4 linked regions of the Saccharomyces cerevisiae S288C genome follow. The protein of the gene in region 2 purifies or fractionates together with the protein of the main gene of each other region. This does not show direct contact. Each region holds a gene or a part of one and is shown on either strand. Other genes may lie near its edges.

Region 1 (8,242 bases), on a different chromosome or scaffold from region 2:
TTTTAATTGAATAGGCGCCATGGAAACACATGTGGTAGGGAGTTGAAATAATAGAACATCCGAATTTTCTTCGTCTTCTTGGAATATATCCCTTGCCAACAGCTCCGATCTGATGATTCTAGCATGATTGAACATAATTTCATCCAAAATCCCTTCGATATTAGATACAATATTGTTATAAATTACAGGCATATTTTTGGCCCTTGATGCACTCTGGTTGTCCCATTTTAAGATAAGACTTTCTGTTGTTCTTTGAATGCCAATAGTGATCTTACCCTTACTGTCCATTTTCCCATTCAGCCAATATCTAACTGTAATTGTACTTTTTTTAGAGTCATAGTTATGGATCAAATTACTTTTGGAAAATTTACCGCCGTTGGCCAGCTTTAAAAACTCTCTATGAACCATGTATAGCTGTAATGTCAACACGTATTTGTGCAGAAAATTGTATAGGGATAATAATGGATCATTACTTTTCAAAAGAATTTCATTGATCAACTTCTCTAATCTTGGCTTATTCAAAGGAAGGTTATTTCCGTTGGAACTTGAGTTTTCTTCATTGTTCTCACTATCGCCGTTAGTCGAAGTAGCTTCTGTAACTGCTGAAACAGTTTGTTCAGCTTCCGTGTTAAACAACAATTTTAAATCCACAAAAAACAGAGGGGACTGTCTATTAACAGTCGATAACTGGATTTCAAATTCATTAGGGACAGTAAAGTAGATTCTACCGTTTTTGATATGATAGCTGTTTAATGGTTTAGGAATGTTCATTAATGCAATTTTTATTGAGACAGTCAAGTTCAAATCTTTTAATCTCTGTAAAATCAATCCAATGGGAACTTTGGCCATTCCATCTACCATATCCATAGAGTTACTGACACCGCTTAATTTAAAGTTGTGTGTAGGTAGATTTGGCCTCCCAAGACTCAAAACTTCCAAAGCGGTGACCAAATCCACGTTGGGCAATTTAGCATTGGTCATAGAGTTTAGACTGCTTTTCAAAGCCCAAATACAATTGTTGACATTCATGTTAGTCGTTCTAAACCAGTTCAACAGATCGATTAGTACGTGAAAGTTGTTTTGTTTTATAGTACGGGTCCATTTCACAAGCACGTAAAGTTTCAAAAATTGTGTCCTTAGGAATATAATCAGCTGTAAGAAACGTATTTTCTTTGCGGAGTTAGGCTCATTTGCCTGGGTGTGAACATTAGTTTTCATGTACTGAGCAAGTTCCTTCATTGTAAATACCGTCAAGTTCCTTATTACTAATGCCAGACTGACTTGATTAATCTCAACATGCGGCAACGCTGGCGGAGGCGCACTTGTCATAGTCGCTGCACTTGTATCTTTCGGTACCATTTCTAGAGATTCTTTTTGGGTGGCCGTAGTTTCCGGGTCGGTTGCAGAAGGGCCATGCAGTTGAGTGTTCTTAACGGGACCCTGTTGCTCTTGCCCATTCTGCTCGGACCGGTTCTTCAGTGCGTGCATCTCGTTAGAAAGTCTCTCCTCATTAGCCAGCATTTGTGGGGATCCTATCGTGGTAGTCATTGCCCAGCCAAGAAAACCCTATACTTTCCTGCCACTTTTTAACTCTTTTTCTGATGATCTTTACAACAGACCTCTACTAAACAATTGAAAAATTCACCGTTTTTACTTGAACCAGCGACCGTGCGATGGGACAATCGTTTAGTTAACAATAAGCGGGACAAAGTAATTAAATTTAGTGGCATCTAGAGAGAATAATTGAACGCAATGAAGAGAGCATGGTACGTTGAATTGTAGAATGTGGGGGGATAGTATGCGCGAGCTTGGTGACGCTATGGATAATGAGTTGAATGCAGTGAAGCCGGTGGTGGAAGAAGGTGGCATGGATGGTGCCAGAAAATTTATTAAGGGTAAGAGCTTTCAGAAGTCTTCTACCGAACATATGTTGATTTCGCCCGGTAGGGATGGTTCAGTGCCATTGAATGGGTTGAAATCGTCGCCGGCAGACCCGCACTTGTCTGATGTTAATTCTATCTTGGACAATCATCGTGGCGGTGGCGAGACAGCTTTGACGTCTGTAAATAATATTATCATGGCCACTTCGACGAATGGGGACAGTGATGGGGTTGATGGAGATGCCAAGAGGCCGTCTATTTCTAACTGTTCGTCGAGATCATCATTTTTTGACACCGTACTGAGCACGTTTTCCCTAAAATCAAATTCACAAGATACGGTTACTAATGAAGTCAAAAATATTGAGGTCCAGTTTGCATCCGAGGAGGCTAATAAAAAATTCCGCCAAATGTTCAAGCCATTAGCTCCTAATACGAGACTTATTACGGACTACTTCTGCTACTTCCACAGAGAATTCCCCTATCAGGGCAGAATCTATCTCTCCAACACACATTTATGTTTCAACTCAACCGTGTTGAACTGGATGGCAAAGTTACAGATTCCCTTGAATGAAATTAAATATTTAGATAAGGTCACCACAAATTCAAGTGCTATTTCGGTGGAAACCGTGACTAACAGGTACACTTTTTCCGGATTCATAGCGAGAGACGAGGTTTTCCAATTGATTACAAGAGTTTGGTCAAAGGAAAACTTAACCAATATCAATGACGTTTTGGAGGTTGATGAGAGGGTCTCCAAGAAAAAGGGAATATCATCGACCCCTTCTTCCATATTCAACAATGTTTCTACCAATGCATATAACGATTTCATATCGACAACCACTACTGAACCAACAAGCAGGGCTTCCTACATGAGCGAGAACGACATGCTCATCGAGGAGGCCATAAGGTCCGTGGACGATTACATGGGCACACCAAGAGCATCGCCATCTTCTTCATCTTCGTCGTCATCGTCGTCATCGTCTTTAGGCTCTTCAACAACTTATTATTGTAGGCCCGTATATAGGTTAAAGCCAAACGCACCATTTCAATATGAGGGGCCATTCCATGTACAAGAAACCATGGACTTTCCTTATAAACCTGAGGCTAATAATGAATACGTGCTTCTGGAACGTCAATTCAGCGTTCCACCCGGCCTACTTTTCATTATGATGTTCAATGAAGATAATCCAGTTTTTGAGTTAAGCTTTTTGAAAACTCAAGATTCGTCCAACATCTCACACATAGGGACTTTTGAAAAAGTCAATAAAGATGGACAACATTACAGAGAATTCCAATACACCAAACAGCTGCATTTCCCTGTGGGGCCCAAATCCACAAACTGTGAGGTAGCGGAAATTCTTTTACACTGCGACTGGGAAAGGTACATAAATGTTTTAAGTATAACAAGAACACCAAATGTTCCTAGTGGTACCAGTTTCAGCACCAGAACGAGGTACATGTTCCGATGGGATGACCAGGGGCAAGGTTGCATATTAAAAATAAGTTTTTGGGTGGACTGGAACGCATCCAGTTGGATCAAGCCAATGGTAGAGAGCAATTGTAAAAATGGACAAATTAGCGCCACTAAGGACTTGGTAAAGTTAGTCGAAGAATTTGTAGAGAAATACGTGGAATTGAGCAAAGAAAAAGCAGATACACTCAAGCCGTTGCCCAGTGTTACATCTTTTGGATCACCTAGGAAAGTGGCAGCACCGGAGCTGACGATGGTACAGCCGGAGTCGAAACCAGAAGCTGAGGCGGAAATCTCAGAAATAGGCAGCGACAGATGGAGGTTTAACTGGGTGAACATAATAATCTTGGTGCTCTTGGTGTTAAATCTGCTGTATTTAATGAAGTTGAACAAGAAGATGGATAAGCTGACGAACCTCATGACCCACAAGGACGAAGTTGTAGCGCACGCGACTCTATTGGACATACCAGCCAAAGTACAATGGTCAAGACCAAGAAGGGGAGACGTGTTGTAACAGAGTAATCATGTAATATTGTATGTAAGGTTATGTATGTTCGTATGGTATGGAAAAAAAAAAAAAAAAAGGATGCTATGTGGAGAATGTAAGGCGTGGTAGCTCCGGATAATTCAGTCTGTAGGCTTCATCACGGGCAGTGGCCTGACTCTGAGAGCTTGCTCCGGTATTAAGTTGTGCGTTTGAAATTTTCTGGAAAAAAGAAATTGATTGGTTGAAGCTATACTCGTCGAAAGATTTCTTCGGCAGTGGTTGTTGCTCCACCTGCACGGGAGTTGTGTTTGCGTTTATGTTCGGCTTGGCTATATTATTAGCGAGTGATGTTTGCAATTTGCTGTATTGAGAATCAATTTGGGTGCGTAAGCTTTCAATAATTTTGCAGACCGCAGGCACTTCCAACTTTATGAGTTGCAGGTATTCTCTTTTATGAATATACGATGACGACGATGACGACGACGCATCCATGCGCAAAAGCTCAGGGTGTCTAGATAGTTTGTTAGTCAATAAATCCACATATCTAAAATAATAAATAAACGACAGCGACAAGTCGTTGGCCTGGAACGCACACTGTGCCTTTTCCAATATGCCGATGCATGTTTTCAGGTAAATTCTCAATGGTATCGCCGGATTGAAGCGATAATCCTTAGCGTCCTGAACCAATTGCTTACTAGACTTCATGACCTACCGGGGCCAGATAAAGATGCGGAAGGAAGAGAAAAAATGTATAGTGGTTGGTGAACCGCAACAATAATTCGTGCCAACACTTTAATCGAAGCAAAAATTGTCTTGTATGTTATTAATATTATCTATCTAACCATTGATTTACGTATAAAACTGTCGATGCTCATCGCCTAGCAATGAAAAAATTTTTTCTTTTTTTTTTCATTATTTCTCTTTGTTGCGTACTTTTTTTCATTGCGTTTCGCGGCAAAAGCGATTCGAGTTGACTGGAAGTGTGTTATACTATAAAAAGTGTATATGCCTATTTTTGGTTCTGATCTTTACTTTACTGTTAAGTACTGGCTGAGGCAGTAGACTCTGCCTCTGTTACGGCAGCGGTATTCGCCTCGGCATCAGCAGCCGCCCACGGTAGAGTAGGTTCTGTTGTTTTGACGTTTGCCAAGGTACTGTCCAAATGCTCCTTCAGCAAGGCCTCATTACTTTCCTTCTCCGGACCCACCGATTGCGTGATCTCCTGTACACGGTTCAAGAACTTGTTCAAATTGTAGCCCGCAGCAGCATCAGAGACTTCTTGTGTGTAAGGGACACCCCTCAACTCCTTGACTCTTCTTTTGTGCACTTTGCCCTTTAAATGCGTTTTTAACGCTATAGCAGTCTCCATGTATTTGGCACAGTGTATGCAATAGTGCTGACCAAGGCCCGGTTTGGTTTCATCCAATGGCTGGTTCAGAAGCTTCTGTACTGATTCCTTGGTGGACAAATCGTTATAGATCAGGTCCAAGTCTCGTGTTCTTCTTTTAGTCTTGTATCTCTTCACCGAATATCTACCCATGATGCGCTATTGTTTTATCTTCACTTGTCTGTGTGTTTAACTGCCTTTCAATTCACCTCATCTCATCTCCCGCTACTTTCCATATATAAAAGCAAAATTAATTTGCTTTTTCCCCTGTCAGTATAAAAAAATTTTCCGCAGGATATAGAAAAAAAAGAAATGAAATTATAGTAGCGGTTATTTCCGTGGGGTGCTTTTTTACACCTGTACATCTTTTCCCTCCGTACATTTTTTTTATTTTTTTTTTTGGTTTTTTTTTTTCGATATTTTTCCCTCCGAAACTAGTTAGCACAATAATGCTGACTAAGGAAACTTTTCATCTCAGAATTGATGGTCAGTTTGGTTTCTCTAGAGAATAGTTTATAAAAAGATGTTGATGTGGAGCAACCATTTATACATCCTTTCCGCAAGTGCTTTTGGAGTGGGACTTTCAAACTTTAAAGTACAGTATATCAAATAACTAATTCAAGATGGCTAGAAGACCAGCTAGATGTTACAGATACCAAAAGAACAAGCCTTACCCAAAGTCTAGATACAACAGAGCTGTTCCAGACTCCAAGATCAGAATCTACGATTTGGGTAAGAAGAAGGCTACCGTCGATGAATTCCCATTGTGTGTCCATTTGGTTTCCAACGAATTGGAACAATTGTCTTCTGAAGCTTTGGAAGCTGCTCGTATCTGTGCCAACAAGTACATGACTACTGTCTCCGGTAGAGATGCTTTCCACTTAAGAGTCAGAGTCCATCCTTTCCATGTCTTGAGAATCAACAAGATGTTGTCTTGTGCCGGTGCGGATAGATTGCAACAAGGTATGAGAGGTGCTTGGGGTAAGCCACACGGTTTGGCCGCTCGTGTCGACATTGGTCAAATTATCTTCTCTGTCAGAACCAAGGACAGCAACAAGGATGTTGTCGTTGAAGGTTTGAGAAGAGCCAGATACAAGTTCCCAGGTCAACAAAAGATTATTTTGTCTAAGAAGTGGGGTTTCACCAACTTGGACAGACCAGAATACTTGAAGAAGAGAGAAGCTGGTGAAGTCAAGGACGACGGTGCTTTCGTTAAGTTCTTGTCCAAGAAGGGTTCTTTGGAAAACAACATCAGAGAATTCCCAGAATACTTTGCTGCTCAAGCTTAAGTTCTTTTCAAACATTTGAACTAACTTAAAAGAGAAATTTTTTTGATTTAAATTCTAGTTTATTAAACAGTAAATATATTTATACATTATTGTAATACATATAATTATGTGTTTTTTTAAAGTTCAGCATGTTGGGTAGTGATATATCCTGAAGTCAATGGACACTGTTGCTTTTTGTATACCAGCAGGAAAAAAAAAAGCCTGAGCTGCAGTAACGAAGAATTGTTGAATGCGTCTAACAAGAAAGGGAGCAATCGATAACAGGGACGTGCGCCGCTAATGTCATTCAGATTATTCACGAGGACTTCTCAACGTCTCCCTCGCCTTAACTGGGTTAGTCCCATCAGGCGATACGCCAAACAACCTCAATACGATGAAGCAGAGTTGTTTGCAGAGAACATTAACCATGGCGCATATAAAGCAAAGAAAAGGCCATCAGACGAGCATTTCCAATGGCCTGAGAAGTCTCCTGATCAGATCACAAAGGAATCTGAACTCCAATGGGAAAGGATGGCGAAATTATCTGCTGTTGGGCAAGGGATCCTCATTCTCGTGGTAGTGGGTGGGTTGGGAACGGCCTACTTGCGTTGGCCAGAATTAAAATCCTGGTGGTTAATCAAGATGAATGGCGGTCGCATAAATGCAACGCAAGAGCAAAGTGGACAGGATTCGTTGGAAAAATTGATCAGACAAAAGGCCAAAAATCTATTAAGGGAGATTCCTCAAGTGCCTGCCTTTCAACTTGGAATAGATCATCCTGGTGTATACATATGGGGAAGGTGTCATTCTAAGGACTCATTGTTCCCTGTTAGAGTACCTAATTTGGATGGTCGTAAATTCAGAGATATCCTATTAGCTCCCTCTGACGATTTCAACACCAATTTTGCAATTGACGAGAAAGGCGATTTGATATCGTGGGATGATTTGGGACAAACAAAAACGATATTGCCAGATCAAGATTTGACCTCAATGAAGTATTCTAGTCACTTTTTGTACGCTTTGAATAAAAAGGGTGAAATATTGGTCATACCTATAAGAACGCCGGATCTGATAGCTTCGCAAGTATCATCAAGAAGGTCGAAATTGTTGCCATGGAAGACAAAACTAAGATATGATTGGAAATTACAAACAAATCAGATTTTCAACGGTAAGGAAGGAGAAAAACGTGTAGTACAATTTGACGCTGGTAGCCATCATCTGGTGTTGCTATCTAATTTAGGTAAGGCTTATTGCTGCGCGACGGGAAATGATCAAAAACAAGCTCAAGTATCCAAAGGACAATTCGGTATACCAACATTCTCACAATTCGATGAGTTTCCTCCCAATAATCAACTATTCGAAATTGAACTGCTGAACAAATTTAAGCATGAAGGAGAAGACGTTGTCCGCAAAAGAGAAATTAAAAAGATAGCTTGCGGGTCGTACCATACACTGGCAATAGATAAGACTGGTGAAATTTATGCCTTTGGCTGGAATAGGTTCGGCCAATTGGCACTACCTATTTCGTACAATCTAGAATATGTTTCTTTCCCAAGATCGGTAACGCATGCATTTAAACCGCATTTCCCGGGGATGACGAATTGGAAATGTGTGGATATTCATTGTGATGATGAAACATCGTTTGTGACCATTCGTAAGCCTGGCTCAACGTCAGACCATCATTATTTCGCGTTTGGTAATGGACTTTTTGGTGAATTGGGCAACAACACTTTCAAGAACTCGCAATGT
Region 2 (7,194 bases):
TCAAATGTTTTATTCATAGATACACGAATATTGTTCAACGTAATCATTTCAACCTCGCTGCCGTTTTTCGATGATATGGTTGGCGATTGTAAAATCAACTGAGATTCAGTGGGTTGTGATTTGATTTGCGCTATTATCCTAAACACAGGAGCATTGACGTTGGAGATTTCTGTGGGGTCAACTCTTGGTGTTTCGCTGGCCATTTTTACTTGTGTTACTGGTAGACGATGTTCTACAAGAATGGTGAAGGGTGTGTTATATTGCTCTTTATTTAAACACGAACGAAAAAAATATCGCGTATTGCCACATTTGGCGCGTCAATATTAAAGAACGAAGGCATTATATAGGGCGACTTGTCATGATTCCAACCATGGCATGGGCGGTGGATGCTTCTCAGCAGTGGCCCATTACGTTAGTCAACGACTGTTGGCTGTCATCTGTTCTTGTTGGGTGCTTGCAGCTGCATCGACAAACATGGATGGATGCCTCTACATATATATATATATTTATGTAATGGACCTCTGAATATTTTACTATGTAACTGACTATAGGAGATACCACTGGTGCTGTAGTACAATTTAGCACTTGCAAGCGTTGACACAGTTGTTGCGAAGGCCTCTTTCTTGTAGCACTTAATTGGAGTATGACTGCCATCATGTAGGGAAATTATGAAAGCATAGGATCAATCTTGACGTTGCAAAGAAGAAGAGACTTGCTGTTCCCTATTGATCACTTACCGTTATTGGAGTTCATATGGTACTTTTTTCATAATTTTACGAGTAATCCCTAGTGGTAGTTAATATTCAGCAAATAAAATACCAGTTTGAGACCAAAGGTAAGATAAGAGTTTACTGATAAAGACAAAGAATTGGGATGACCTAGTCCAAGGGATTATAGTACCTTCGCGAGTATTGCATATAAGCTTTTAGCGATACACAAACAAAGCGACACCGGGATTTGCATATCGCTTGTTCCTACGACGTTGTCAGTTCCATAACCTCTGATTTCCCATACGGATTTTGAAAATCAGCTACGAATAGATAGTCTTTTTCTATTTTCAGTAAATGTGTCATTGAAAAAAGTTTCTTTAGAACGACGCTTTTTGCAGGCTACTAGAAACACCCACTTCTAGTAGCTTTACGTGACGAATTGAACCGCGTGATCTTGTGCACTGTTATCCTAAATGCTCAATGCTCAGAACATCTTCTTGTTATCTCAGCCTCGCCACCCTTATCTTATCATAGCGGCCTTTTATTTTCCCCTTTGGGCAAAATACGATACAGCCTTCCAAGGTCGGGCAAGAAAGTTTATGACATATAAAAGAAACGGGTACCCCAAATACGTCTCTTCCCATTGTAAAACTAATCCTGCATCATCACATTAAGGAATCATTCATCTAACAATTACATTATGATCGCCTTACCAGTAGAGAAGGCCCCTAGAAAGTCCCTATGGCAAAGGCACAGAGCCTTTATTAGTGGAATAGTTGCCCTTATTATCATCGGCACCTTCTTCCTCACTTCGGGTCTCCACCCAGCACCACCTCATGAGGCAAAGCGTCCACACCATGGAAAAGGTCCCATGCACTCACCCAAATGTGAGAAGATTGAACCATTAAGTCCATCATTCAAACATTCCGTCGACACAATTCTTCATGACCCTGCCTTTAGAAACAGCTCCATTGAGAAACTGTCCAATGCTGTTAGAATCCCCACTGTAGTCCAAGACAAAAACCCCAACCCCGCAGATGATCCGGATTTCTATAAGCATTTTTATGAACTACACGACTATTTTGAGAAGACTTTCCCTAATATTCACAAGCATTTGAAATTGGAGAAAGTCAATGAGCTGGGTCTTCTATACACATGGGAAGGTTCTGATCCTGATCTAAAACCATTATTGTTAATGGCCCATCAAGATGTTGTACCTGTAAACAACGAAACTTTATCATCCTGGAAGTTCCCTCCATTTTCTGGTCACTATGATCCAGAAACAGATTTTGTTTGGGGGCGTGGTTCTAACGATTGTAAGAACTTGTTAATTGCCGAGTTTGAAGCTATCGAACAACTGTTGATAGATGGATTCAAGCCCAACAGAACTATTGTTATGTCGCTTGGTTTTGATGAAGAAGCAAGCGGCACCCTCGGTGCTGCCAGCTTAGCCTCATTTCTTCACGAAAGATATGGTGATGATGGTATTTACAGTATCATTGACGAGGGTGAAGGTATCATGGAAGTCGACAAGGATGTCTTTGTTGCCACTCCAATCAACGCTGAAAAAGGCTATGTCGACTTCGAAGTCAGTATTCTAGGCCATGGTGGTCATTCCTCTGTCCCACCTGATCATACCACAATCGGTATCGCTTCAGAACTGATTACTGAATTTGAAGCCAACCCATTTGACTACGAATTTGAGTTTGACAATCCAATCTATGGATTGTTGACATGTGCTGCTGAACATTCTAAATCTTTAAGTAAGGATGTGAAGAAGACAATTTTGGGCGCACCATTCTGTCCTAGAAGGAAGGACAAGCTTGTTGAGTACATTTCCAACCAATCACATTTGCGCAGCTTAATAAGAACAACACAAGCTGTTGATATCATCAATGGTGGTGTTAAAGCTAATGCTCTGCCCGAAACTACCAGATTCTTGATCAATCACAGAATTAATTTACATTCTTCTGTGGCTGAAGTCTTTGAAAGAAACATAGAATATGCGAAAAAGATTGCTGAGAAGTATGGCTATGGTTTATCTAAGAACGGTGACGATTACATTATCCCTGAAACCGAGTTAGGTCACATTGACATTACTCTCTTGAGAGAATTGGAACCAGCACCACTTTCGCCAAGTTCAGGCCCTGTTTGGGACATTTTGGCAGGTACTATTCAAGATGTTTTTGAAAACGGTGTTCTACAAAACAACGAAGAGTTCTATGTGACTACTGGTTTATTCTCTGGTAACACCGATACTAAATACTACTGGAATTTGTCCAAGAACATTTATAGGTTTGTTGGCTCTATCATTGATATTGATTTACTGAAGACATTGCATTCGGTTAATGAACACGTGGATGTCCCAGGTCATTTATCTGCCATTGCCTTTGTTTACGAGTATATCGTTAATGTTAACGAATACGCTTAAGCGCAATGATTGAATAGTCAAAGATTTTTTTTTTTTAATTTTTTTTTTTTAATTTTTTTTTTTTTTCATAGAACTTTTTATTTAAATAAATCACGTCTATATATGTATCAGTATAACGTAAAAAAAAAAACACCGTCAGTTAAACAAAACATAAATAAAAAAAAAAAGAAGTGTCAAATCAAGTGTCAAATCAAAATTTAAATGATGATGATAATATGACCATACAATGACTTAAATCAAATCAAAACCACTTGCGTAAAGGCAGTGAATATGGCCAAAATATAATACCATACACCGTTTTGCATCTTCGTTAAAGCAACACCATTCGACTTCGAGGTGGTCGAAGGCGCAGTAGCAGAAATGCTCATCAATTGAGAAGAATAGGTTTCGTTTTCTGGAATTGCAGCCAATAAATCGTTAACAGTATCAGCAGAAACAGTTCCATTGAATGGAGTGGCATCAGATATGAAAGAAACGACATTTCCACTAGAATCGAAAACAACACCACCTTTCATCGTTCCAGTAGTATTTCTTGTTATGTATCCGTAAGATTGGATACCAGTACCCAAATCCTCGATACCTTGGAAAGTGTGGAAAGTAGAATAGAGATGGTTTTTCTCCGTACCATTCATAGCTTCAAAAATATCGTATTCCCCACATCCACTAGCCCAACATGAACAGTTGGCATTGGTTGGATATTGAGAAGTCCTTGCAATGTGATCGTTTAGCAACCAAATAGCAGGCAAGTCATAGTACCCAATAGAGCTGCTATTTTTCTCAGTTTCAGTAGGCATTTCGAATTCAAACAAAAACATCTTTGTTGTACCTCCGTACCCATAGTAAGCTGGAATGCCACTACGGTAAACCCCACAACCCTTATCATAACCTGATTTTGGACATGAGACATTCGAATAGATTATGTATTCTTGATCTGAAGAAATCAAAGTGCCATCTGCCAAAACGGTAGCTTCACTGGCGCTGCCAGTACCGTTAGAACTAGCGTAGGACAAAGCATTTCCTAAACAAGGGGAAGCTTCACCTCCATGATTTAGAAAGGTAACGTTATCAGCGGTTTTGGAACTGGACTCATAGTAGGCAAGACGGTTCCAATCAGAAGAACTTCTGCTGTTGTTGACGGTAAATCCAGGGGATGTGTAAAAAGCAAATTGTTTCAACTTCAATGGTCCACGGAAATGAACGGATAAATAGTCTGCTAGTGGAGCGTTCTTACCACTAAACCATACTCTGTCACCCACTTCGCAAGTACACGATTCATTGTTGGTGATATCTTTAAACTTATTCACATCTACGTAGGAGCCTGTAAAACCAACATTAGTGAAATCCAACTTTTGGTACGACTGAGGTCCACTGGCAGCGACTGTGTGCAACATAAACATGCACACGGAAAGGACTATACTCTGTAACATTTGTCTTATTTAAGCTTGTAATGTTTGCACTTGAGTATGTTCTATTATGGCTGCTTCCTTCGATAAGGATTGTTTCTCGAGGATTTTCAGGTTTATAAATAACCTAAGCTCGGCAAAATAGACAAAAGAAAAGGGCGGAGCCAAGACTTTGAAAAAAAAAAATGGAAAAAGGAACCCTTGCAGATACAGCAAAAATGGGAAATGGAGGCTGTGGAAAAGAAAGAGGCTGATATCATTTTCTGTCTTTAGATCTACCTAACGGCTTTTCTTACATAGGAGAACTACAAATATTATGAGTATAGAATCGATGAGGAGGCCAAGCAAAGACCGTAAATTCCAGTCGCGGAAGGTCTTACGTAATAAATCGTGCGACTCCAGCACATCGTGGGCTACCTTCTTCAAAAACGCGTAACGATATTTTTTCAAGGTGTCATTCTCGTCCTCGACTTGTTCCGTGTTCACGTTTAGGAAAGACGACGGCATACCGTCTTTGCTCTCGTAATATTCTTCGCTGTTGCTATCACTGAAATTCTGCATGACGCGAATCTCTTGGAGGACTTCTTCCTTTATGGGTATCACCGTTCTTTTAGTTATGGCTTCATATTCATAAAATCCTGGGTATTCGTCTTCTTGCAAGTCGTGGAATTCCAATTCATGTGGTTGCCAATACTGTAAGAACCACCAGGCTAAAAGATTCACCAACCAGAAAACGGGGCACAAGATTCCAAAAACAAAAAACCTTGGCAGCCAAGGTTGGACAGGCACACTCATTTTACATGATTTGCATTGGCAACAGTATTTTTTCATCCAAGGGTTCTCATCGTTCTCGAAGGGCGCGGCTAGATGTTTTGTTTTATGCTCAATACTTGATGCTAAAGTAGTCATGTTTCTTGTCGTCATTCTTTGAATTTTTGTAGTCCTATGTACAAGCACAATATAAATGACAGACTAGTCAACGACGCTGACCCTTTATATGTTCCCCGTATATTCCTTGTTTTCATTGCAGTTAACATGTAAATTTCCCGATGCGGTAATTACGTTTCAAAGTCATTTCAACACTTCTATTGACAGCAAAAAAATAAAGACACTTGAAACGCACGATTTTTTCAAGAATAATATCTGTCGAGAAGATGTGTCACATTACCTATCATTACAGTGCTACTGATAGCCCACTAATGCGGATATTTAAATATATGCACCAAAAATGTATAAAGAAATAAACGGTAAAGACAAAAAAAATTACTTATTACAAATCGCAATTACAATTAAAGTACAAGACTTCCTTTGGGACAGAAAACGTGAAACAAGCCCCAAATATGCATGTCTGGTTAATTATGATGATGTTGAAGGTGGAGGAGAAGACATCCTTGTTGATGCTGATGATAATGCCAACGCCTTTTTTTGCTTCTTCTTGAGGATAATCTTATCCATGTATGAATTTATGAATTCTTTAACTTTATGCCTTTTTCCTTTGGTTAAGTCATCAGGCGGCGCTCTTGAAGAATCTTTTTTAAGTTCCTTTGTAGTTAGGATTTTCACGATGTCTTTAGCACATTGTTTAATGTTTTCATGATCAAATTGTTTACTTTGTGGGTTTTTTTTTATTAAGTTGGGTACAAAAGATGCAAAGAATTTATTCCAGTTGTGCTCTAGTCTTTGGGACTGGGAGACCGTTTTTCTTTTCAACCGCTTAGCCTCTTTTGCTTCCACTAGTTTTTTGGCCTCTTCCTTTTGTAACTCCTTCTGTTTGTTGGCCTCCGCTATAATATCCTCCAAAACGCTTTTTCTTTCATTCTCAAGCTTTAGCTTTTGCTTCAGGCTTTCCAATTCTTCTTGTTTGGCTCTTTCTAGCGCAATTCTTTCGTATTCCAGTCTTTTTTGTTTCTTCCTCTCATATTCTTCGTCACTCAGCTTATGTTTCTTAGAGTCTAAAGCGCCAGGCGTTTTTGGTATTCCACTGCTACTCGGAGAATTTACTTGTGTATTTGACCTTGAACTAAAGACCTTAGATGATCCCGAAGGTGGATAGTGTAGTTTCGTTTTCTGTTCTGCATTATAATACAATGGGCGACCGTTTTCGTGAATGATCTCCCAGCCTGGAGGTAATCTCACCCTTCTCAAATCTATCATTTTGCTGGCTGCGACGTTTATGTCTTTCTTCGTTATCCTTTTATATGTTTCAAATTTCGACCATTTCTCCAATAACTCATCGCAGTTTGGCTTTAAAAATGGAAACTTTGCAGGGAGAGTTTTTACTACATTATCAATTTGTGACGACTCAATACCGTTTCGAGTTGTCTTTGGTAATTCCAACAAAAAATCTAAAATTCCCTTTATAAACTTTATATCATCTTCTTCAGTCTCGTTTCCTTTTCCATCTACCTGAGGTTGTTCCGTGATAAACAATTTAAGCATTTTGCTAAAACAGGTGTAACCGTGTAGTTTGATAGCCTGATGACGAAGAGAGTCATCATCGATAGTAAAAAGTCTCTTCAAGAGTTTGGATGCAATTATCTTATTATCTTGCTGTAGTAATACACTCATGATCTTCGTCACATCCACTGGGCTGTCGATAGGTTGGACTTCCAATGATTGAAGAAATTCAATATTTATGTTCTCGTTTTCA
Region 3 (7,607 bases), on a different chromosome or scaffold from region 2:
TCGCGTACATTAGAATTCCTTTCCCCATCTTGGGGAGCTCTTCCCTCCTCCGCGTCGGTGCGAGTATTATCTTTCATAGCCATTGTAATATTTGCCACTTCGTCCGGAAGCGCCAGTATATCTTGATTCCATTCCGCATATAATATGTGATGTGGTGCTGGTAAATGGCGGTATTGAAAATATGAATCCCTATAAGAACTTGAACTCATAATCGTGGTTGTTATACTTTGCTCACCCCACTTCTCTGATATTATTCTCCCTTCTCTCACGATACAGCTAGGCCACGGCACAAATATGATGTAGTACTAAGATTTTTTTTTTTGAGGTTGCAATTCAGATTGTTGTCTTTTTCTACGACATGCATAGAAGTATATCATATGATATTTCGAACTTTGGGTGCTTTTCTACATAGTGCCTACGTTCTGAGTATCTATAATAATATAATGAAAAGTGTATATATAATTAGCACCATTAAACGCACCACACTGTTGCCGTTTACTTTAAAGAGAAGCGCAAAGAGCGGCAATGGTGATAGCGAGTGCGCATACGCTCGCTTTCCAGGTCAAACTCATATTTTTGATTGGTAATAGCTGCGAAGTTGTTAGTTTATTAGAAATTGCAGCATTCTTACTCTTCCTGGAAGTCGTAGTGGAGGACAAAACCGATGACGTTGTTCTTGGAAATGCCTGTGCTGATAAAGAGGATGAGAATTTTTCTTCGATAGATCCATCTGCTTTGAAGTACGTGTAGTTGTCGAAAGGGGAAGGGAAAAGGTTAGCTTCTTTTAGCTTCAAATAATCCCATTCTACGGCGTCTTCGGTCTTCCAATTCCAAAAAATCCATCCCGTTGTTTTTGACGAATAAGTGGCTAGCTGTGCCTCAATGAATTGTCTCACACGGTCACGGTAATCTTGCGTCCAATCAGCTAAGCTATTTTGGGATATACATGTTCCAACTGGCTTGTCGTTGGTGGTAAACAACGTTGTATTGTAGTATGATCCATCGTAACGTGCACCCACCCCAACACCATTTAGCCAGGTTGCACAATCAGTAATAGCGCCTGACCATTCTCCGACTACTGCTGGGTGAAAAGAAAGTTCTTTGTGGATAGAGTCCCCATAATTGATAATGTTTTCAATACGTGCAAACTGAGTTTCGGCCAATTGCGCATCAGTAAACACTTCATAATGATGATGGTCGACCAATATATCTTGAGAGCTGTAATTTGCACCAGTCAAATTGAAATAATGATGCGATACATTCTGGTAGGTTGGGTTTAGCTCCAAGTTCCAGTGACCGATTCCTTGAAAACCGTCATGAATAACAAACGTAGTGTTGTCACTCGAATTCTGATTTTTCTTGAGCAAGTCAAATGCTTCGTAATACATCTCCGTTATGTCTGAAACATCGATTTTGCCACCAAGCGGTTCGTTGACGATTTGAATACCCACCACAGGACTTTTGTCACCTTTATTTAAAAATGTCTGGAACATATCTCTCCAAATAGCCAGAGTCAGTTCTTTAGTATTATTCAACCTTAACCAGCCTAAATCGCCATAGAGTATTCTTTCACCGGAATTATCGAATCCATTCTGGGATCCAGGAGCACCATGTAGATCTAACCATACATTTAGTTCGTACTTTTGCGCCCATTCGAGAGCATTATTTAAATATTTCAGTTGTAATCCATCACTTACGTATGGATCATTGAAAGTTATGTTATCGATGTACAAGTTTTTATCAGTATTTTGTTTCCACGCCCAATATCCGATGGGGATCCTAACTAAATTGAAACCGTTGGTTTTGATTTGTTCAAAATCATCCTCTGTAATCCAAGTTTTGAAGTGATTATCCAATAAAGTTAGAGAGGTGTTATATCCTAAGGTTTTACAAAGAGTAAATTCGTCGACAATGGAGATATTGCTGGAAGAGTTTTGCTGTTTTGCCAGTGACGTAGCATTACGATATAATGATGGCGTGATATAAGGTTCTGTTACTAGCCAGCCGCCAATAGTAATACCTTTCACGGTGATAGTGTCGTTTGCATAGTAGGAGGCGAATTTGTTTTGTAAAATATTTAGTTCCAAAGGCGATAACGATTCTTCCTTCTCTGTGGTGCCAACGCCTTGCGTGAATTTAGACAGGCATAAAACTAGAAATGCTGAAAAAAAAAACGACTTCAAAGGCATATTAGGACGTCCCAAGTAACGAACGGTCTACAATTGACTATTCTATAGAACGCGCTAAAATCTCAGCCAAGGAAAAGAGTTTTCAAATTTATATAGGCGACGACGTATTCTCGAGAATTTGCGTTTTTCATTGTATTGTTTATTTTCTTCTTTTTTCGCGGGACTTATTTCTTGAACTCTGTCCGTAAATAGAATTAAAGGGACACATTTTTGCAGCGTCCCTGACCTTGTGATGTTTCAAAATAAACGCACACATTATTTTTAAATGGCAATTTCACGTAGTTTTAGTGGTTTGAAAATAATGATAAAATTTGGGCATTAATTGTGCAGATTATCAGTCAAAAAGTGAATCGAAATGTATCCCAATACAATTTCATGTGCATATTTCACTACTACGAAGTGAATATTGTAAAAATCACGTTATGACATAACTGCTTTTAGTAAATCTATAAATTAAATGATTAATAGACATGTACCCGAGGATAATAGGATTGGCGAAACTGGATATTTGTTTGTAGTATCACAGGTTAACATTATCGTTTTAGGACCTTTTTCACTTTGTCTGGTGATCTTGGGGAATCTCTATATCTTGAGATACTTGATTTAATTAGGCCTCCATAACCAGATTATGCATATTCGATTGGCAATGAATAACTTATAACTGAACGAGTTGTATCATTATCGATATCGTTATATATGGTATATCCAGGACTGACAGTCAACATATCACTTGACACTACCTTAAAATATTCAGGATTTACTAGGTATAATAGACAACAGACTAGTTAACGACAAATACTGAACATAGAGACGTACAAAATATGATACTTGTGTTCCTGCCACAGCAAAGTTGATGTACTTAGTTGACTGTATATAATTTTTTTCTTTCAACCTCTGCTTTATCTAACATTATTTGGCATTTTTTTATTTCTATCTAGTTAGATTTTAACTATAATCTGCTTATTCAGTATACAGTGTATTCTCTATTTTATTTTTTTGTTATTTTTACATGTTTTCAATTTAGTCTACTAAGATTATATGTTACAATTCAGGTACTCCGTCAAATAGCCCCCTTAAAATACTGCTTATGTGCACCTGGCATGAAGATTGGTATGATATGCATATGATATGTTCTATTTCTAGGTTTATTGACTCTATGTTTTCTTTCTAAAAAATCTTGAACATGGTCGCGACAGCTACTTTGACAATCATTGATAATCAGCCGTGCGTCAGAACTGAAGGTCTGCTAAATGAGCAGAAGAAGCCAGAGCGTAAAGTTTTCTGTACGAATAAAGAGGGGGGAAAGCCGTATTTTTTATTGAACGACTGCAGAACGGAGGATTATGACTGTTGTTATGAAAATAGCTAATATACAATATATGTGAAACTCCTTCGCAAGTATAATAACTCACATAGTCTTTGCTCTTCGCCATCAGTTACAAAGTGCGCTGCAACTTCCGAAATGCGATAAGTCGTGATGCGGTTACCTCGATATCGAAACCTTCTGTTTGTCCGTAAAATATCGTGTAACACTAAAGCATACTTTTTCTCATCGATTTATGGCTCATCGACCAACCGAATTCTTTGATAGTTAATGTATGCTGCAGGCAGAAGGGCAGCCGTAGGTATAAAAAAGACTAGAGTTCACGATCCAAGCACTATTTGCCATTTTTGTGCCCTTTCAAATTATTCTTTTTTATCGCATTGTCATTCTGGTACTATTAAAGTAAAATTAAAAAGATTGAGGAAAATTTTTGGTAAAAACGACAACTGCAGGACTCGAACCTGCGCGGGCAAAGCCCAAAAGATTTCTAATCTTTCGCCTTAACCACTCGGCCAAGTTGCCTCAATTTACAAGTAATTTGAATATTATTAGATAGTATGATGCAGTATTATGACACACATCTAAACGTTAATAAAACACACATGCAACTTGTTGGAATAAAAATCCACTATCGTCTTGTTGGAATAAAAATCAACTATCATCTACTAACTAGTATTTACGTTACTAGTATATTATCATATACGGTGTTAGAAGATGACGCAAATGATGAGAAATAGTCATCTAAATTAGTGGAAGCTGAAACGCAAGGATTGATAATGTAATAGGATCAATGAATATTAACATATAAAATGATGATAATAATATTTATAGAATTGTATAGAATTGCAGATTCCCTTTTATGGATTCCTAAATCCTCGAGGAGAACTTCTAGTATATCTACATACCTAATATTATAGCCTTAATCACAATGGAATCCCAACAATTACATCAAAATCCACATTCTCTACATGGTAGCGCCGCTGCTTCGGTTACTTCTAAGGAAGTCCCATCAAATCAAGATCCGTTAGCCGTTTCAGCTTCCAATTTACCGGAATTTGATAGAGATTCCACTAAGGTTAATTCTCAACAAGAGACAACACCTGGGACATCAGCTGTTCCAGAGAACCATCATCATGTCTCTCCTCAACCTGCTTCAGTACCACCTCCACAGAATGGACAGTACCAACAGCACGGCATGATGACCCCAAACAAAGCTATGGCCTCTAACTGGGCACATTACCAACAACCATCTATGATGACGTGTTCACATTATCAAACGTCACCTGCGTATTATCAACCGGACCCACACTATCCGCTGCCACAGTATATCCCACCGCTGAGTACTTCCTCACCTGATCCAATCGATTCACAGAATCAACACTCTGAAGTACCTCAAGCTAAGACAAAGGTGAGAAATAACGTCTTACCACCACACACTTTAACATCAGAAGAAAACTTTTCTACATGGGTTAAATTTTACATCAGATTTTTGAAGAACTCTAATCTCGGTGACATAATTCCAAATGACCAGGGTGAAATCAAAAGACAAATGACTTATGAAGAACATGCGTATATATACAATACCTTCCAAGCATTTGCCCCATTTCATTTATTGCCAACATGGGTAAAACAAATTTTAGAAATTAATTATGCTGACATCCTTACAGTCCTTTGTAAAAGTGTGTCCAAAATGCAAACTAACAATCAAGAATTAAAGGATTGGATAGCTCTTGCCAACCTTGAGTACGACGGAAGTACATCTGCTGATACATTTGAAATTACAGTCAGTACGATCATTCAGAGGCTAAAAGAAAACAATATCAATGTTAGCGACAGATTGGCCTGTCAACTAATACTTAAAGGTCTATCCGGTGATTTCAAATACCTACGTAATCAATATCGTACCAAAACGAACATGAAACTTTCCCAATTATTCGCTGAAATTCAATTAATATATGACGAAAATAAAATCATGAATCTAAATAAACCGTCCCAATACAAACAACACAGCGAATACAAAAATGTTTCTCGCACATCTCCAAACACGACTAACACGAAGGTTACAAGTCGTAATTATCATAGAACAAATAGTTCAAAACCAAGAGCAGCAAAAGCTCACAATATTGCTACATCCAGTAAATTCTCAAGGGTGAACAATGATCACATTAATGAATCAACCGTTTCATCACAATACTTAAGCGATGACAACGAACTTAGTCTTAGGCCAGCAACAGAAAGAATCTAAGCCAACACGCACAATAGACTCGAATGACGAACTACCTGATCACCTTCTTATTGATTCAGGAGCTTCGCAAACGCTTGTCAGATCAGCCCATTATTTACACCATGCAACACCCAATTCTGAAATAAACATAGTCGATGCTCAAAAACAAGACATTCCTATAAATGCCATTGGTAATCTTCACTTCAACTTTCAGAACGGCACCAAAACATCAATAAAAGCACTACACACACCAAACATAGCCTATGATCTATTAAGTTTGAGTGAGCTGGCTAACCAAAATATTACTGCCTGCTTTACCAGAAACACTTTAGAAAGATCGGATGGTACAGTACTAGCTCCCATAGTCAAACATGGAGACTTTTACTGGTTATCTAAAAAATACCTAATTCCTTCGCACATTTCAAAGCTAACAATAAACAACGTCAACAAAAGCAAAAGCGTAAATAAATATCCATATCCGTTAATACATCGAATGCTTGGACATGCTAACTTCCGAAGTATTCAGAAGTCTCTTAAGAAGAATGCAGTTACATATTTGAAAGAATCGGATATTGAATGGTCTAACGCTAGCACATATCAATGTCCTGACTGTCTAATCGGCAAAAGCACGAAACATAGGCATATCAAAGGATCACGACTAAAGTACCAAGAATCATATGAGCCTTTTCAGTACTTGCATACCGATATATTTGGTCCTGTACATCACTTACCGAAAAGTGCACCTTCTTACTTTATATCGTTTACAGATGAGAAAACCAGATTCCAATGGGTCTACCCATTACACGACCGTCGTGAAGAATCTATCCTCAATGTTTTTACATCGATATTAGCATTTATTAAGAACCAATTCAATGCTCGCGTTCTAGTTATCCAGATGGATCGTGGCTCCGAGTACACTAACAAAACTCTTCATAAGTTCTTTACGAACAGAGGTATTACTGCATGCTATACAACCACGGCAGATTCTAGAGCACACGGTGTCGCTGAACGATTAAATCGTACTTTATTAAACGATTGTCGCACACTGCTTCATTGCAGTGGTCTACCAAATCATCTATGGTTCTCAGCAGTCGAATTTTCTACTATAATCAGAAATTCATTAGTCTCACCAAAAAACGATAAATCTGCAAGACAACATGCAGGTTTAGCTGGACTGGACATTACTACTATACTACCTTTCGGTCAACCGGTTATAGTTAACAACCATAATCCCGACTCGAAAATACATCCTCGTGGCATTCCAGGTTACGCCTTACATCCGTCACGAAACTCTTATGGCTATATTATCTATCTTCCATCATTAAAAAAGACAGTAGATACTACCAATTACGTTATATTACAAGACAACCAATCCAAATTGGACCAATTCAATTATGATACACTCACCTTTGATGATGATCTCAATCGTTTAACAGCCCATAACCAATCTTTTATTGAACAAAATGAAACGGAGCAGTCATATGATCAAAATACAGAATCTGATCATGACTATCAATCGGAGATTGAAATAAACTCTGATCCTCTAGTGAACGATTTCTCGTCCCAATCATTGAACCCTTTACAATTAGACAAGGAACCAGTCCAAAAGGTACGTGCACCAAAAGAAGTTGATGCCGACATATCTGAATACAATATTCTTCCATCTACTATACGATCTCGTACACCCCATATCATTAATAAAGAGAGTACCGAAATGGGTGGTACCATTGAATCAGATACTACTTCACCTAGACACTCGTCTACCTTCACTGCACGAAACCAAAAGCGACCTGGTAGTCCCAACGATATGATTGATTTGACCTCACAGGATAGAGTTAATTATGGACTTGAAAACATCAAAACTACACGT
Region 4 (8,129 bases), on a different chromosome or scaffold from region 2:
CATAATAAAAGGGCCATGATTGAATGGGTAGAAGAAAAACCAGAACGCATCAACCCACCCGTTCCCCTTGTCGACTACGATCAGAATAGCAGGCGCCTTAGAGTTGTAGCCTGTTCCGTATTCGGGTAGATGACCGAGCAACCATTTAGGGTCCTTGTCGAAATCGTCCAAACTGGTTAAAAATACCTCGCTACTGGGGATATGCGTTTCCGTTTTGTTGCCAAATAAATCTACGTGGTATTCCGCCTTCAAGTCATGCAGTGTCAAATTTTCATGAGTGGATATAGAATTGCCGTTTTTATCTTTAATTTGGAAGTTTTGAACGTACTCAGCAATGTCCGATGGCCAATATTTCTCTTCGCTATACAAGTGCACTAAGGGACAATGATTGATGACATAAGATGGAATCTCTCCAGGCGTATGCAGACTTCTCTGATCATCTGTCACATCTGTGGAATTTAGTATGGGCGGCAATTGGCCGTCGACTTTGAATCTGTTCCGTTGACCCATGGCCATGTCTCTTTTCATCAAAGGCTCTAACGGATCATAATCTTTCAATGGTGGAAGGACAAGCGCCCGTATGACGCTTAGATCTACTATTAAGAACCATAACAATATTCGCGCTAGTACGCAATGCATTCGCTAACTGAATTGAAGTTTGCTTTACCTATTGAGTACTTTATCAAAGCTGCCTTCTTTGTCATTGACGGTAGCTTCAAAAGAAAAGGAAAGTTCAATTGTTAGTTCTATTATAAAGAAGAGAAATTTCAATTTTACATATTCGGAACTTTCTCTTTTTTCATTCGGCTAGTACAACTACGTAGAGAGTATATCTCGCATCCGTCGTATGAGTAACGAGTTATGCTTTCCTTCAAAAGAAGGGTTCTTCCTTTTTCACTTTTTTCTTCTTCCTATTTACACGTAGGACAGCGAATACGGAGTCATGAAACCTTAATAATGCGCTGTTTTTTATTTTTTCTAAGTTTCAATTTGATTTTGTCGTTTCCGTCATAGCCATATAACTAAATTGAGATATAAACTATTTTTATTTTTCCGAGAACGGCCACTGCTTTGGGGCATGCATTATACGATTTCTCGAGAATCCGGTGAAAGCGTATACCCAAAAGAGCAACATAATTGACTGACCCACAATTTGGTTAGAGACATGCTATGCTGATCCTGCATATCTCAAACAGGCAATATGATAACATACATAAGCAATCTCGGCTACGCGGATTTTGTGTGGGTCTGAAAAAAAAAAAAAAAAAAAAAAAAAATAGCGCGGAGCCGGGTGAGAACGTTGGACGGGTAACATAAAAACAGAGCTCTTTATATAATCAAGCATTCCCTCCATACAAAATGTGTCTGCAGCCACGTGCAAAGTACGGTCGTCGTGTGCTAAAGACCAGTAAGTACAGTCTAGCGGGCCTCTGACTAGCTTCTCTGTGCTTGGCGAGGGGTTTACTGGAGCCCAATCGGACTAGCCGGGCTTCGTCACTGCGGCAATGTCTTCGCCCAACGGATCGGAACAGCTCACTGATTTCACCCAAACGGGAAAAAGGAAAAACAAAAACAAAACAGAACGGCGTAGTTTCCGGCAGCCATGATGATCCCTGATCCATAGAGCCATTTTTTTCATTTATTTCCTAATGCATTTTGTTCATATTCTGGATCTGCGTTAAACGCTGTAAAACTGGCTCGTTTCTTTTATATATCTTGCAATCATTCGCTGCTCAACCATCCTAGTCTCTTTTTACACGTACCCTTTTTCCACTTTTTCTTTTAGTTTATATATTCTTTTCGCCTAAGAACATTTGTCTTTGTAATCTACTTAACTTAGCAATTGTCAGCTGTCCTGTTACAACCTGTTCTCCAAAGTGAATACAATAAGCAGTATTTGCTCTTTTTCGTCTAGGTGCGTTGATCTAATCTTCTTTTTATTTTTCTTCTTCGTTCAGCCTTTTTTGTCCTCACCGGTAGCGTTCACCCTAATTCTTTAATTGTCATACCCATAATTATACTACAAATTTCGTGGTCTAGTTTTCTAATATAACTAATTACTTTCTCCCTTCTTACTTCATTATTTTAATTTTGCATTAGTACTCCTCTAGCCAAAGATAAACAGAAATGAACAGACAGGAATCCATAAATTCGTTTAATTCAGACGAAACATCTTCGTTGTCTGATGTAGAAAGTCAGCAGCCGCAACAATATATCCCTTCAGAGAGTGGATCTAAATCCAACATGGCTCCTAATCAACTGAAGTTGACCCGGACGGAAACCGTGAAGTCATTGCAGGACATGGGTGTGAGCTCCAAAGCCCCCGTTCCTGATGTTAATGCTCCTCAATCTAGCAAGAATAAGATTTTTCCTGAAGAATATACTTTAGAAACCCCTACAGGTTTAGTTCCTGTCGCCACTCTACATTCCATAGGTAGAACTTCTACTGCGATTTCCCGTACGAGAACTAGACAGATCGATGGCGCTTCTTCGCCTTCTTCTAATGAAGATGCTTTAGAAAGTGATAATAACGAAAAGGGTAAAGAAGGCGACTCTAGTGGTGCGAATGACGAAGCTCCAGATCTAGATCCGGAAATTGAATTCGTTACCTTTGTGACTGGCGATCCAGAAAACCCCCATAACTGGCCTGCATGGATCCGTTGGAGTTACACTGTCCTACTGTCAATCTTAGTTATTTGTGTCGCCTACGGGTCTGCTTGTATCAGTGGTGGGTTGGGAACCGTTGAAAAGAAATACCATGTAGGTATGGAAGCCGCTATTTTATCGGTTTCTTTAATGGTTATTGGGTTCTCGCTGGGTCCTTTGATTTGGTCTCCTGTTAGTGATCTTTACGGTAGAAGAGTTGCTTACTTTGTTTCTATGGGTCTTTATGTCATCTTCAATATCCCTTGCGCCTTAGCTCCAAATCTAGGTAGTCTTTTAGCTTGTAGATTTTTATGTGGTGTTTGGTCATCATCTGGTTTGTGTTTAGTTGGTGGGTCTATTGCCGATATGTTCCCAAGTGAAACAAGAGGTAAGGCTATTGCTTTCTTCGCTTTTGCTCCTTACGTTGGTCCCGTTGTTGGTCCACTAGTTAACGGTTTTATTTCCGTTTCTACCGGACGTATGGACCTGATTTTCTGGGTCAATATGGCCTTTGCAGGTGTTATGTGGATCATATCTTCTGCCATCCCAGAAACGTACGCTCCAGTTATCTTGAAGAGAAAGGCTGCTAGATTAAGAAAGGAAACTGGTAATCCCAAGATTATGACTGAGCAGGAAGCGCAAGGTGTCAGTATGGGTGAAATGATGAGGGCTTGTCTGTTGAGACCTTTGTACTTCTCTGTCACTGAACCTGTTCTAGTTGCTACTTGTTTCTACGTGTGTTTGATTTACTCTCTACTATATGCGTTCTTCTTTGCCTTCCCTGTCATTTTCGGTGAACTATATGGCTACAAAGACAACCTTGTGGGTTTGATGTTTATTCCTATTGTTATCGGTGCTCTTTGGGCGTTAGCCACAACTTTCTACTGTGAAAACAAGTATTTACAAATTGTCAAACAGCGTAAACCTACTCCTGAAGATCGTTTGCTAGGTGCTAAGATCGGTGCTCCATTTGCTGCAATTGCTTTATGGATCCTGGGTGCTACCGCTTATAAACATATTATTTGGGTTGGTCCAGCTTCAGCTGGTTTAGCTTTTGGTTTCGGTATGGTGTTGATTTATTATTCATTGAATAATTACATTATTGATTGCTACGTCCAATACGCATCCAGTGCTCTGGCTACAAAGGTTTTCTTAAGATCCGCCGGTGGTGCTGCCTTCCCCTTGTTTACCATTCAAATGTACCACAAATTGAATCTGCACTGGGGTTCTTGGTTGTTGGCTTTCATCTCCACTGCTATGATTGCTTTACCTTTTGCATTTTCTTACTGGGGCAAAGGTTTGAGACATAAGTTATCCAAGAAGGATTATTCCATAGATAGTATTGAATAAGAGTAACGATTTTACGAATCGAGCATAATAATGAAAAATTATAGTAGTAGTAATGATAAAAACATAAGCAAACATAAGCAAACATAAGCAAACATATCAAACATGCATTCAAACCATTATCCGACAGTAATGTACATATATTTTTACGTATTTTACATTCTTTCTCTATTGTTCTTTTATCTATTGCTATCCTAAACAAATATATTGATTGACCTTCAAACCGTGAGTAACTTTATTAATTTATATGTATAGAAAAAAAAAAAAATTGAATTAGAAATTTGAACTTCTCAAGTTCATTCTTCTTGTACCTATGCGATGACTTTATTTTCGGTTTTTACATTCCTCCTCATTTGACCGAGGAATACGAATTTGATTGACCCCCACTCACTAAACAAAGGGTCGGAATTCTTTTCCACTTTAAAACTTAGTAATAACAACAAAGTCAACAAAATAGTCCTATTGCAAAATTGCAGGTTCCTTAATTAATATTCTTAAATGATCATCAATAGGCGTATTTTGAAATCTTTTGAAGAGATAAGTCATTCATTAGAGGAATCACTACGAGAGGTTGCATTTGATTCACAGCAACAATTGATTCAAGACGTACGTGAGGAAAATGAAGAACTAAGTAGGTTACAAGATCAATTACAATTGATCAGGTCAATTGTTGAAAAAATCTGCATTTCAATCAAAACTGACAATATTGACTCTTATTGTTCGGTGCCTTTTGATTTGCTATACAATATTTGCAAGGACATTGCTGATCCCTCATCCTTTGAAGACGGAGATTTGCAATATCTTGTTAGCCAAGCCATATTTGAGTACATTATATTATTGTGCTACTATTCTGTGACCAACGAATGCGTCCAAGGTTTACCTGCCGTGTATGAAGCTGAACAGTACTACAAAACAGTAAGTGATTCAATCCTAAAGTCTTTTCTTTACTGTTTACAAAATTCAGTATCGACAATACGTCTTTTATCTCAAACTGTTTTGAAGGATGTAAATAAGAAAAAACTGTCGCATCAAAAATGGTCCCTAAAGGCCTTGTCAGTTGATTTACTAGAAAAAATACGCCCAAGAATAAACAAATTTATGGTGATTCGGAACTTCAGGTTTGTCGGGCTACCGAAGAAACCAATTGAAATAGCTTCATTGGTTTCTGATATACCTCGCGGTATAGTGCACGAAAGACTTGATATGGTCACTCAATCATCAAAGTATTATACTATTAAACTGGGGCAGTTGATCACTGAATTCGATCAACAACCAGAAGAAAATGGTATGTTCACCGAAGTACATTTACCGAACTACGAAAGACGTCTAAAATCTTTACAGGACTTCTTTGGATTAGCCATGTCTGATTCGAATTTACTAGATGTGATCCGATGCTCAGCGAAATTTCATAAAGATCATCCTTTAAGAAGGTTCACTAAACCAAGTATATTGACTAGATACTGGCCTTCAATTTTGTTGTGTCTTTTATATGGACCATCTTCTGTTATGTCGTTGTGGAATTCCCGGTATTTTATTCAAGATTTCATTAAGACCAATGTCGTTGACTTTGCGAAAGGGCTGATCTTGAACTGGTTATGGGCACCCCTGAAACAGGTTTGGTCTACTGTTAAGCATGACGAGGGAAGCGCCATTTCAGTGACATCACAGGAGACATTAAACTCTGACATGGATTCTCTTACCAGAATGATTGTTAGTTTTGTTGTGGATAATAGTGATTCGACGTCTAACAGCCCCATAGACCCTATTCTATTGAGTACTAAAGTCGAACATGGTGATTTGACCGAATTTATGGAAATATATGAAACACAACTACATCATCCGATAAAGAATATAGCTACGGGTGGATTAGTCAGGTCTTTATTGATTCAACTGCAAAAAACAAAAGTCGATGGATCTATGGCATTGAATGGCATTGATAAAATGCTGAAATCGCAACAGTTGGTGTTTGGAGTTGTAGCATTATCTCCGGCTTTAGTGATACTATATTCTTCTATAGTGGCGTTAAAAAGATTTGTCAAACTAGGCAATGTCTGGTCTAATGAAAAACGGTATAGGGAGCAAATAAGTATAAGTTTGAATAATGTGGAAAGAGTTTTGAATTATTCTAAACAAGGTGCGGACGCCGATGAGGAACACTTAAACCAGGGTCTACTAGTGATTGAGGTTTCTAACTTATACAAATTGGGAAGTTTTTTGATCCCGCGTTCAAGAAAGAAAGAATGGTTTAGGGACGTTGAGGAACTGGTGGATACCAATCTTGACTCCGGAGCTCATATAAATGTCGTCAACAGGATATACCACGTATATGGCAGGTTTTTAATCCATTAGCGTATAGCCTGCTGGGGAAGAAGAAAGGGAAGATATTGAATATATTCTTAATGTATTTTTTGTACAGACGTAAATATAAAGAAATCAACGCAAAATCGACGCCTTTTTACTTTTTATACTTTTTTACTAAAAAGACAGATTTTCTCGCTCATATCATAAGTGATGTACTATTATCCTCCATATACGATATATCTGTTTAAAAAAAAAGAAAAAAAAAGGTTACTTAAATTCATACTCATTAGAAAAAAATTCTAGGGATAACAACACCAAAGGTAGAACTTCGTTCAATTTATGAAAGGTTTGGCCATAATGGAGAACAAATGAATGAAGTATATAAAGAGAAAAACGACTTAAAAGATATTATTAACAATATCTGACCCAATACTAGCGCCTGCCCCAAAAATGGCGGCATTACCCAATTTGCTACCAAAGCTCTTCAAGTGGCTATGTGAGCTCTGATGTTGTTGTTGTTGTTGTTGTTGTTGGGGAGGAGGAGCTTGTTGCGGCTGTTGTTGAGGCTGCTGATAATAATTTGTGGAAGGTGGAGGAAATGGCTGCTGTTGATAAGATGATGCGGCACTATTTTGCGTGGGGATTTGTTGTAATTCTTGAGCTTTATACTGTGGAGGTGGTGGAAGATTGGATGGACCGTTAGACCCAGAGAAAGCTGGCTTGACATAGTTTGCTGGGAAAATACCGGTACGGCCATTACAGCTACCCTTGTACCACTCTGGAGATAATTTTTCTAAAAGTTGGACCTTGTCACCTGGTTTTAAGCCCAAATCACCATCTTGTTGAGGATCAAATTGATAAAGAGCTTCGACATATTCCAAGGAAGCTGGACTGGCGTTGCGGGGTGCATTGGCAGGATCCCATTTTGCCGGCAAGCTCTTATTTATTTGATCGTAAACGTCATTTGAAATGACATTTGACCCTTTTAGAAAATCCAGTTCTGTCCTAATGTTTGTTAAGGAACGATTAATCAATGAAGCAGACATTTTTGAAATATCAGATTGCCTTCTTTCCTAATGTTCTTGTGTTTGCGCCAATGTGGGCACTTTGCCTATTGTCTCAACCGATTTGAGGTTCGACTATATATGCAGCTTACAATATCCATCCCCGCCTCGAAGGAGGCTCGGTTAATCACGCTGCACGAACGAAAACAATAGTTAAAGAAACGTTTAGAACAATCTAGCGCTTTGAAGAAAGAGTATTAGGCTCTTTACGTGAAGGATGGCACATTCTCATTCAAAAGTTGCTGCTAACTTTTATCATCAAATCAGTAAACCCCTTCTTGTTTTTTCTTGACAGAAGCTTTCACATAACGGAACCAACCATGGAATAACTTAGCACCACATCGAAAAGGATTTGGACTACTGCGCAACAAAGTGGGACCCATGTAGACATAGAAAATAAACCAGATCTATAGATCGCACCTATTAAAAACCCCATAACTGTACCAGTCGTCAAGCCTTGAACGCCTCCGTATAAGACGTACATGACGAATATCCATACACTTCCAGCCTTCTTTCTATGGGTCAAGCTAGCATACACACCAGCAGTAACGTAAAATGCACCATTAAAGATCAAAGTCCAGTACAGCGAAAATTTCCAAATGTCAGATATATAGTATAAGAATGCAGTATTATACTTCGAGTTGTTGATGGGCCAGTATAATGAGGGGAATTTTGGCGTTACATATCCAACAGGTATATCGTTATTTGTTACGAATGATCTGAGCACAGGGAACATGCGACAGAGTAGTGGATGTTTTTATTGTTAGTTTT

The links.
Region 1: the proteins of TOH1 (region 2) and LAM6 purify together in Saccharomyces cerevisiae (affinity purification with mass spectrometry, with the first as the bait; one large-scale study listed by BioGRID). This does not show direct contact.
Region 3: the proteins of TOH1 (region 2) and EXG2 purify together in Saccharomyces cerevisiae (affinity purification with mass spectrometry, with the first as the bait; one large-scale study listed by BioGRID). This does not show direct contact.
Region 4: the proteins of TOH1 (region 2) and NCA2 purify together in Saccharomyces cerevisiae (affinity purification with mass spectrometry, with the first as the bait; one large-scale study listed by BioGRID). This does not show direct contact.

Annotation. Positions count from the first base shown.
Region 1 is NC_001144.5:277,079-285,320, forward strand, and holds LAM6 (Lam6p), read left to right. Parts: upstream 1-1,783; coding exon 1,784-3,865; downstream 3,866-8,242. Other genes in the region: RGR1 (Rgr1p), read right to left, coding at 1-1,548; RFU1 (Rfu1p), read right to left, coding at 3,941-4,543; BUD20 (Bud20p), read right to left, coding at 4,878-5,378; 60S ribosomal protein uL16 RPL10, read left to right, coding at 5,849-6,514; FMP25 (Fmp25p), read left to right, coding at 6,794-8,242.
Region 2 is NC_001142.9:96,327-103,520, forward strand, and holds TOH1 (Toh1p), read right to left. Parts: upstream 4,569-7,194; coding exon 3,378-4,568; downstream 1-3,377. Other genes in the region: RFA3 (Rfa3p), read right to left, coding at 1-203; CPS1 (Gly-Xaa carboxypeptidase), read left to right, coding at 1,411-3,141; ASG7 (Asg7p), read right to left, coding at 4,824-5,453; histone methyltransferase SET2, read right to left, coding at 5,901-7,194. UniProt on the Saccharomyces cerevisiae protein: Probable circularly permuted 1,3-beta-glucanase involved in cell wall modification through beta-1,3-glucan network alterations such as increased branching or remodeling.
Region 3 is NC_001136.10:977,021-984,627, forward strand, and holds EXG2 (glucan exo-1,3-beta-glucosidase), read right to left. Parts: upstream 2,190-7,607; coding exon 501-2,189; downstream 1-500. Other genes in the region: SWM1 (Swm1p), read right to left, coding at 1-209; YDR261W-A (gag protein), read left to right, coding at 4,442-5,758.
Region 4 is NC_001148.4:833,776-841,904, reverse strand, and holds NCA2 (Nca2p), read left to right. Parts: upstream 1-4,491; coding exon 4,492-6,342; downstream 6,343-8,129. Other genes in the region: TDA6 (Tda6p), read right to left, coding at 1-639; TPO3 (spermine transporter), read left to right, coding at 2,128-3,996; PIN3 (Pin3p), read right to left, coding at 6,693-7,340; MAY24 (May24p), read right to left, coding at 7,660-8,077. UniProt on the Saccharomyces cerevisiae protein: Involved in the mitochondrial expression of subunits 6 and 8 of the F0-F1 ATP synthase.